Nothobranchius furzeri: one gene and its partner. The protein of the gene in region 1 interacts with the protein of each later gene in a pairwise test. Links are inferred from orthologs where the notes say so. Each region holds a gene or a part of one and is shown on either strand. Other genes may lie near its edges.

Region 1 (4,205 bases):
GACTTCTGACTTAACAGCTGTCCAAAAGACAATCATTGACACCTTGCACAAGGAGGGCAAGACACAAAAGGTGATTGCTAAAGAAGCTGGCTGTTCGCAGAGCTCTGTGTCCAAGCACATTAACAGACAGGCGAAGGGACGGAAAAAATGTGGTAGAAAAAAGTGTACAAGCTCTAGGGATAACCGCACCCTGCAGAGAATTGTGACGACAAACCCATTCAAAAATGTGGGGGAGATCCACAAAGAGTGGACTGCAGCTGGAGTCAGCGCTTCAAGAACCACCACGAGGAGACTCATGAAAGACATGGGATTCAGGTGTCGCATTCCGTGTGTCAAGCCACTCTTGAACATGAAACAGCGCAAGAAGCGTCTCGCCTGGGCCAAGGACAAAAAGGACTGGACTGATGCTGAGTGGTCCAAAGTTATGTTTTCTGATGAAAGCAAGTTCTGCATTTCCTTTGGAAATCAAGGACCCAGAGTCTGGAGGAAGAGCGGAGAAGCACAGAATCCACGTTGCATGAGGTCCAGTGTAAAGTTTCCACCGTCAGTGATGGTGTGGGGTGCCATGTCATCTGCCGGTGTTGGCCCACTCTGTTTCCTGAGGTCCAGGGTCAATGCAGCCGTCTACCAGGAAGTTTTAGAGCACTTCATGCTTCCTGCTGCTGACCAACTTTATGGGGATGCAGACTTCACCTTTCAACAGGACTTGGCACCTGCACACAGTGCCAAAACCACCAGCACCTGGTTCAAGGACCATGGTATCCCTGTCCTTGATTGGCCAGCAAACTCGCCTGACCTTAACCCCATAGAAAATCTATGGGGTATTGTGAAGCGGAGGATGCAATACGCTAGACCCAACAATGCAGAGGAGCTGAAGACGACTATCAGAGCAACCTGGGCTCTCATAACACCTGAGCAGTGCCACAGACTGATCGAGTCCATGCCACGCCGCATTACTGCAGTTATTGAGGCAAAAGGAGCCCCGACTAAGTATTGAGTGCTATACATGCACATTCTTTTCATGTTCATTCTTTTCAGTTGGCCAACATTAGAGAAACAAACATTTTTTCATTGGCCTTTAGAATATTCTAATTTTCTGAGATACCAGATTTGATGTTTTCATTGGTTGTCACCTATAAATATCAAAATTAAACGTAATAAACATCGGAAATACATTGGTCTGTGTGCATTGCATGAATATAATGTACAAGTTTCACGTTTTGAATGGAATTACTGAAATATTTTCAACCTTTTGATGATATTCTAATTTACTGGCCAGCACCTGTAGAAGTCACAGTCAGCCGATTCTTTGGGCCTATTTTTAAGGCTGAATTTTCCTACCTTATTTACACACTAAGATGTCACTAATAACAGTGAAAGCACAACGTTCACTGAATTTAACTAACAATATTAATTTTGCGTGCATCTCCATGTTTTAATTATTTGTTTAATCAAAGTTAATCAAAGAAATGAATAACAGACACGTATTAAATATACAAAACAGGTAGGTAAATAAAATGTTAATCAACAATAATGTTTTAAAGCAAGTGTTATTCAGGAACGTAAATACACATTAAAAAATTAAATTCAGCAGCAGCAGTGGGCTGCCAGCGGAAGTGCCCGACTATATGTATAATAACTGGTAAATATCGCCCTGATATATCGGTCTATTTCAAGTTTACATCCAACAACAACCCACAAATAAACAGAAACACCACCTGCCTCCAAGGCCGCAGAGTAGCAAGAAATTACAGCCTGGACTTAAAGAGCAAGTCAACCCCTACCAGAGTCTAACTCCACTCTCACTTCCTGTTTGAAAAATGAAACAAATGCTGTTGCCTGGCAGACCGAGAAGGCGGAGCTGCTAACAAATACACACACACAGGCTCACAACAGCATTGTGACATCATAATGTACCAGTTTACATCATAGCATACCTCTTAGCCAATAGCGGTGGCAGACTTAAATTAAAATACAGTGCAGAGTTTTTACCTGACAACGGCACAACACTGCCAGTTTTAGGCAGAATATTTAAATTTTAACTAAGATGGACTGAAGTGCCAAATTATTCACTACACGTGTCTGCAGCACGATTAGACACTCGTTTATTTAGTTTATCAGCAAAAAAAAATTTATTTGGGGGTGACTTGCTCTTTAAATAAGATATGTGTTCCAAGCCGGATGTGTGTGTAACTAACAAAATAAAAAAAAACTTCAAAGTAATTTAAATGAGCACGTTTTTATTTAAATGTAACAAATGAAGAAATGGAAATGTTGTTTATTAAAATATGATGGTGACACCACCACATGAACCACTTATTTTTTTGAATATTATAACCGGATATTGTCATTTTAAACTCGCTTCACTTCCGGTGTTATGCCACTTTCCGTTTCCCGTTTACATAGACGCTGAAACACCAATGTTAATCTGAGCAAACGCGTTTGTATTTTGCTTCGTAAGAACCATCGGCATATAAAAATAAGAACTGGCGGCTTCCGTAGACTTCCGAAGCGGCCGTACAACGTAATCTCAACGTACACGCACACACAAAAAGTGTTGACAATTAGTAGTTTTACGTTAAGGCAGACAAAATAAAAACAGACCCCACGTTTGATGTTTGATAATATCAAATTGATATGATAGGTCAAAGAAAATACAACAATAACTTACTGAAAACGGTTCATTAAATGCTGCGCTGATCACGTAGCGAATCGGCAAATCTCACCAGATAACCTAACTACCAGTAGATTCTAAACACCCGTGTCCGTGACGCCCGTGTTGGTGCAGCAAAAAGTGACGCTGAGAAAAAAAAACTACAGCGGAATCCAGAAAGCGGCTGTGTGTTCCGTTAGATAATGATGAAAAATTCCAAAAGACCCAAAGTTGTTCTGAATTTGAAAGATCTCACGGTGATTGCAGCTATCGAACGCTGCTAGCCCGATAGCTGCTGCTGTGTGCATCGTCCAGGCCAACACATACCCGGCGCCTTAATGGCGTAATCATCAGATAACTACTTTCGCTTGCAGTATCGAGACACAAGAACCGGTATAACACAGTTCACGTCACACAACTTCACTCTAGGGGAAAAAAACTCAAAGCAAAACAAATATGCCTGGGGTTAGCAACTTCGGAGCTAGTTGGTAGCCATTGCAGACGCTGTGTCCCTTATTAAATCAGCCACTGCCGCAATCAGTCAAAAGTTAGGGGTCAGATATTAATGCATAAATCTTACACAAGTTCAATATACATCTCTGGATAAGAAATATTAATTAACATGTAAACACAAGTTGGTTTTCAGTGTGGCTAACCAGCAGTAGAGAGTGGGATGTTTACAGAACGGGCTGAGGTAAACCTTTGGCGCCATTTTAAATGACGACGTCGCGTTTTCCTAGCGGACCGCTCGTGCGACCATAACGGAAACTTGCCCACCTTTCCCGATTACAAGATTTGTTTACATGTGTGCGTGTTAATAAGAACACTTGAAATAAGTTGTACAGTACGTACGAGCACGTCAGACCGATGCAAGCCGATGCTTGAGTTCGCTGTGGGGCGCAGTTTTAGCTGAGATCCGCTTGACCCGTATTCCAGAGCGGCGGTCTGGGAGGAGGTTACCAAGGGACTGCAGCTGCGCCCGGACTCCGCTAGAGGGCAGCACACTATCCCACAACCAGATCGGAGATGAGTATATTTTATTATTGCCGTGATCATAAACGTCCAAAGTATTTTACCGCCTCAGGAAAATAATGGATTTGTTTATTAAGAACCAACGGATTAACTCAAATTTATCACAATTCTTGTATTAGTGTGAATGACTCAGCTTTCCCAACACCCACTCCTTTTAGGGCAAACTGATTATTAAAGAGACAGATCATATAAAAATACCATTTATAGTTTAGGGTTTACTGCTAATAAACACTTGGTATCTTTAAAGATTCATTTAAATTATGTCAGCTGAAGAATTGTGTTTATAACATGGAGCTAAAATAGAAACGTTTCTTCTTTACACAACATTTTTCTTTCATTTAAAGTTTTGTACAAATTTACTTTTTTAATAAATATAAATGAAATGCAAATATTTGCACCATTGATTTATAAAATTTAAACACTTTTAGATTCAAATCAAGTTAATTAACCTTTAAACATATTAATTTTAACCACCTGATCGAGGAAATCAGCTTCCTGCAGTAAAAATTTTATTCTTTTA
Region 2 (4,012 bases), about 7.3 Mb from region 1:
AACAGATCACAACATGCCCTATAGGTTAAAAAAATTGTAAGTCGTCTGCTAAGCACATAAACAAAGATAGATAGCTTTTTTTATAAAAGGCTTTAAAAACAGCCCAAGCTGACCAAACACACAAGCAGCAAAACAACCAGTGTCTAATATTTTATGTCCCTGCTATGGAATGTTTAAAAGCAATAAACATCTTTATTATTTTCTATGATTGTCTCAGGGAAATCAGTCTCTATCCGACTCACTGATGAATCATGTTGATCACAAAGCTGCTTGTGACACAGACATAAAGCATCAAAGATATAATCAGTTATCTGGGCTTGAAGCAGGCGGATCTAAGCAGAGATGTTCTGTTTAGCTCTTCAAATACCCCATAGATTGTTTAATTAACATGAACTCTTTTAACCTTTTTAAAGCTTAAATCAGATCTCAGGTCCACACTGACACCAACCTGTATTCAAGATCCAATTTCCTTCTGCACAGATAAACTTTAACCCCTGAACAGTGTTTGACCACCAAACCATTGCAGACACCCCTATTTCTGATGCATAGGGAGAAGCCAAAGGTCATGACCTTCTTCACTGTCTCCAAACAAAGACAGATAACAGAAGGAAGCATGGTTTCTGTACATCAAACAATGACGCAGGCTGATCTAATGAGATAAAGTTTGTCCGATTTGTTTTGGGTGATTTATTTATTACCTAATTCTGAAATGTGTCTGACGTGCCTTTTGGGTACCCAGACGTATTCCAACAATTTGGGATGTGTTAAATGCTGAAATGTCGACATTTTTACATTTAATTTAAAAAAATCTTTAAATCCTTGTTATACGTTTTGTAAATCCCAAATAAAACACATTCTCTACACTCACCGAGGTGTTTTGCTTAAATAATCACCAAATGAAATTATTTTATTTCATGCCAATGCCAATCCGACCAAATTATCTTTCTCATTCCTTTTCCCCCCAATTTCCCTGATTTTTATTATCATCGTTTTGAATCTTTTATTTTGTTTGTTTCTTGTGAAGCGCCTCGTGATTTTCATCTAAGAGCTATATTTATAAAAACTCCTTTCTTCTTCTTCTTCTTCTTCTTCTTCTTCTTCTTCTTAGATATGTATATAAACGAGTAAACACGTGTTTGTAGTTTATGTTTCCATGGACATGATATCTATGGTCGTCGTCGTTCCACAAGGGGGCAGCATCGCCTTTTCAAAGGCGGAAGTGACTAAACAGAGAAACCGGAAGTTTACAGTGCTATCACTAATAGTCAACGTTGCGTACTAGTTTCTAAACCTTTAAGATATCTGTACTTTTTATCACTAACAAAAGTAAAAAATGTCTGAAAGAAAAGTTCTGAACGTAAGTAATCATAACAGAGTGATGTTTTTACAAAGTGGATCAGAAACAGAGTAATTTCCGTCTTAATAGATAACGAGAACAAGCTAACATTAGCAGTGTTGATAAATAAACGAGACGTGTTGACGTTTGTAACTTTTAATGAGCGTAACCTATAATGAGTTTTGGATTAAAAAGTTTTTTTTAGATTCATTACATGTTTACGGCTTTGTCTCTGATAATTATTTAACTTCTGCTTTTACTTCCACAGAAATATTACCCTCCAGACTTCGACCCGTCCAAAATCCCTAAACTTAAACTCCCAAAAGATCGACAGTATGTGGTCAGATTGATGGCTCCATTCAATATGAGGTAGGTGTGTAAATGAGTGCGTTTAGTTTCATTTGGTGGGACAATACAACCACTTTCAGAGCATGATTCCTACAGTTTGATTGTTTCTTCACACAAAATCTTTCTTGTTCACATCTTGACTGTGTTTTTACTCCTGATTTTGGTTACTATTGTTGTCACATGATGTTTTTATTGGTTTGAGGTATTTGCCCTGATTTTACTCATGTTGTACAGCGCTTTGTGATTTATATCTGTGAAAGGCGCTACGTAAATAAACTTTACTTACGTACTTACTTACTTACTACAAAATGTATACAATAAACTCAGTTGTTAAGATTAAACGTAAAGGTCTAAGTTTAATTTTATAAATGAACACTTTTCCTTCTGTGGCAAGGTAGAGAAACGAGGGCCCGGGTGGGATTCGATCCCCAGACTCCCAAGTGAGAGTAACGCACGCTAAACAGTCAGCCAAAGCCCTTGGTGAAGTAGCCAGGGCGCATGATCAGTCGAGACACTGTGACAGGACGCTCACACTGCCACACTTCATTTATTTAGTTTGTTCCCCTATACGTCTATTTAAATCAGAAATCCTGGTTCATTGTGTTTAGGTTAAAACCTGATTATGCTTTTTTATATCAGACTGAGGTTTCTTAATGAGATGTATGCATGTTTAAACGCAGGTGTAAAACATGCGGTGAGTACATCTACAAGGGGAAGAAGTTCAATGCACGCAAAGAGACTGTCCAGAACGAGCACTACATGGGACTGCCAATCTTTCGTTTCTACATCAAATGTACTCGATGTCTTGCTGAAATAACATTTAAGGTGAGGTATTATTATTGTCACAATAGCACTGTTGCAAGCTGCTTTTACTGTTAGTAATCTGCTAGTAACATATCCACATACGCCTATGTTTTGATTCTAGACTGACCCAGAGAACACGGATTATGCCATGGAGCATGGAGCAACACGCAACTTCCAGGCAGAGAAACTTATTGAGGAAGAGGAAAAGAGAATCCATCAGGAGAGGGAAGACGAGGAGCTAAACAACCCCATGAAGGTTGGTGTTTTAAATGTTTGTTCTTGTTTTTCAAATTAGTGTTCTGAACAGTTAAGTAATGTTTCCCTAATCCCCTTCAGGTGCTGGAGAATCGCACTAAGGATTCCAAGATGGAGATGGAAGTTCTGGAAAACCTCCAGGAGCTGAAGGAGCTCAATCAGAGGCAGGCACAGGTGGACTTTGAGGGAATGATTGATCAGTACAGAGAACTGGAAAAACGGGAGAAGGAAAGAGAAAAAGAAGAAGATGAGCGTGAAACAAAGTGAGTGAGAACGGCTCGTGTATCATTTGCACGTCTAAATGAAAAGTCTGTTTGCTTCTTTGCTAAACATTCAAATATTGCTTTGCAGAGAGATGTTGGAGCGGGTGCTCGTGAAAAGACTGAGAGACTCCGACTCTGATTCAGAAGAAGAAGAGGAGAGCAGCAGCCAGTCAAAGACTGCTGGTGCAGACAAGCCGACAGATATCCTCACCACTGATAAACACGAGGAAGCACAGGTTTGTACAGAGTCTCATATATGTAAAATATTGGGTTATGGCTTATTTTGGCTGTTTTTTAAAAGTTATTATATAAATATTAAAAGCTTAGTATTAAAATCTTCAATTTCTTTATGTAGTTAAAAAAAATCTAAGTTTGATTGTAGAAGGTTTTACATCATTTTAAAAGACTGACATGGGTGGAATAAAGCTTCCTACAGCTCAAAATGAACAAACATGACAAAAACCAAGCTGCAAGCAGCGAATAGTGGAATATTTGATGCATGTTTCCGCAGGGGTCCTCATCCGGGGGCGTGAAGAGGGCTAAGGTAGAGAGCTGGGAGAGGAGTGTTGGGACGCTGGGAGGCAAAGGAGCTCTCAGCTCTCTGGTAGTACGAAAGAAACCAGCAGCGATGATCAGAAAACCGAGTACAGAGGAAGCTCCCCCTGCCTCAAAAACAGGTAAAATTTTTGTGTTGACGATCATTCTAAAAGCTCAATAGCTTAATTATTAATCTTTTATTCCACATTAATGTAATTTATTCACAGGTTCAAAGACATCAACAACCGACACCACCAACGCTTCTAAAACCGGCGCCACCCCAAATGGGTCATCATCTCTCAGCCTGCTGGGGGCGTATTCAGACAGCGACAGCAACGAAAGCGAGTGACTGAAACCCGGCTGGCACAGAAATAATGCAACAGGGAACATGATGGAATAGAATTATTTAGTGAAATTGTGTAATTATTGGTGGGTGTGTATTAGAAGACATATTTACATAAGTTGGGTT

The links.
Region 2: the proteins of jade1 (region 1) and yju2 interact in a two-hybrid assay, tested with the Homo sapiens proteins (2 studies listed by BioGRID and IntAct). The two-hybrid records come from large-scale screens. The link is inferred for Nothobranchius furzeri from reciprocal best matches to the Homo sapiens genes JADE1 and YJU2.

The regions. Positions count from the first base shown.
Region 1 is NC_091758.1:17,731,484-17,735,688, reverse strand, and holds the start of jade1 (protein Jade-1), read right to left. Parts: upstream 2,805-4,205; 5' UTR 2,686-2,804; coding exon 2,672-2,685; intron 1-2,671.
Region 2 is NC_091758.1:25,015,572-25,019,583, reverse strand, and holds the start of yju2 (splicing factor YJU2), read left to right. Parts: upstream 1-1,202; 5' UTR 1,203-1,333; coding exon 1,334-1,357; intron 1,358-1,604; coding exon 1,605-1,705; intron 1,706-2,364; coding exon 2,365-2,509; intron 2,510-2,609; coding exon 2,610-2,744; intron 2,745-2,824; coding exon 2,825-3,006; intron 3,007-3,094; coding exon 3,095-3,242; intron 3,243-3,517; coding exon 3,518-3,683; intron 3,684-3,770; coding exon 3,771-3,892; 3' UTR 3,893-4,012.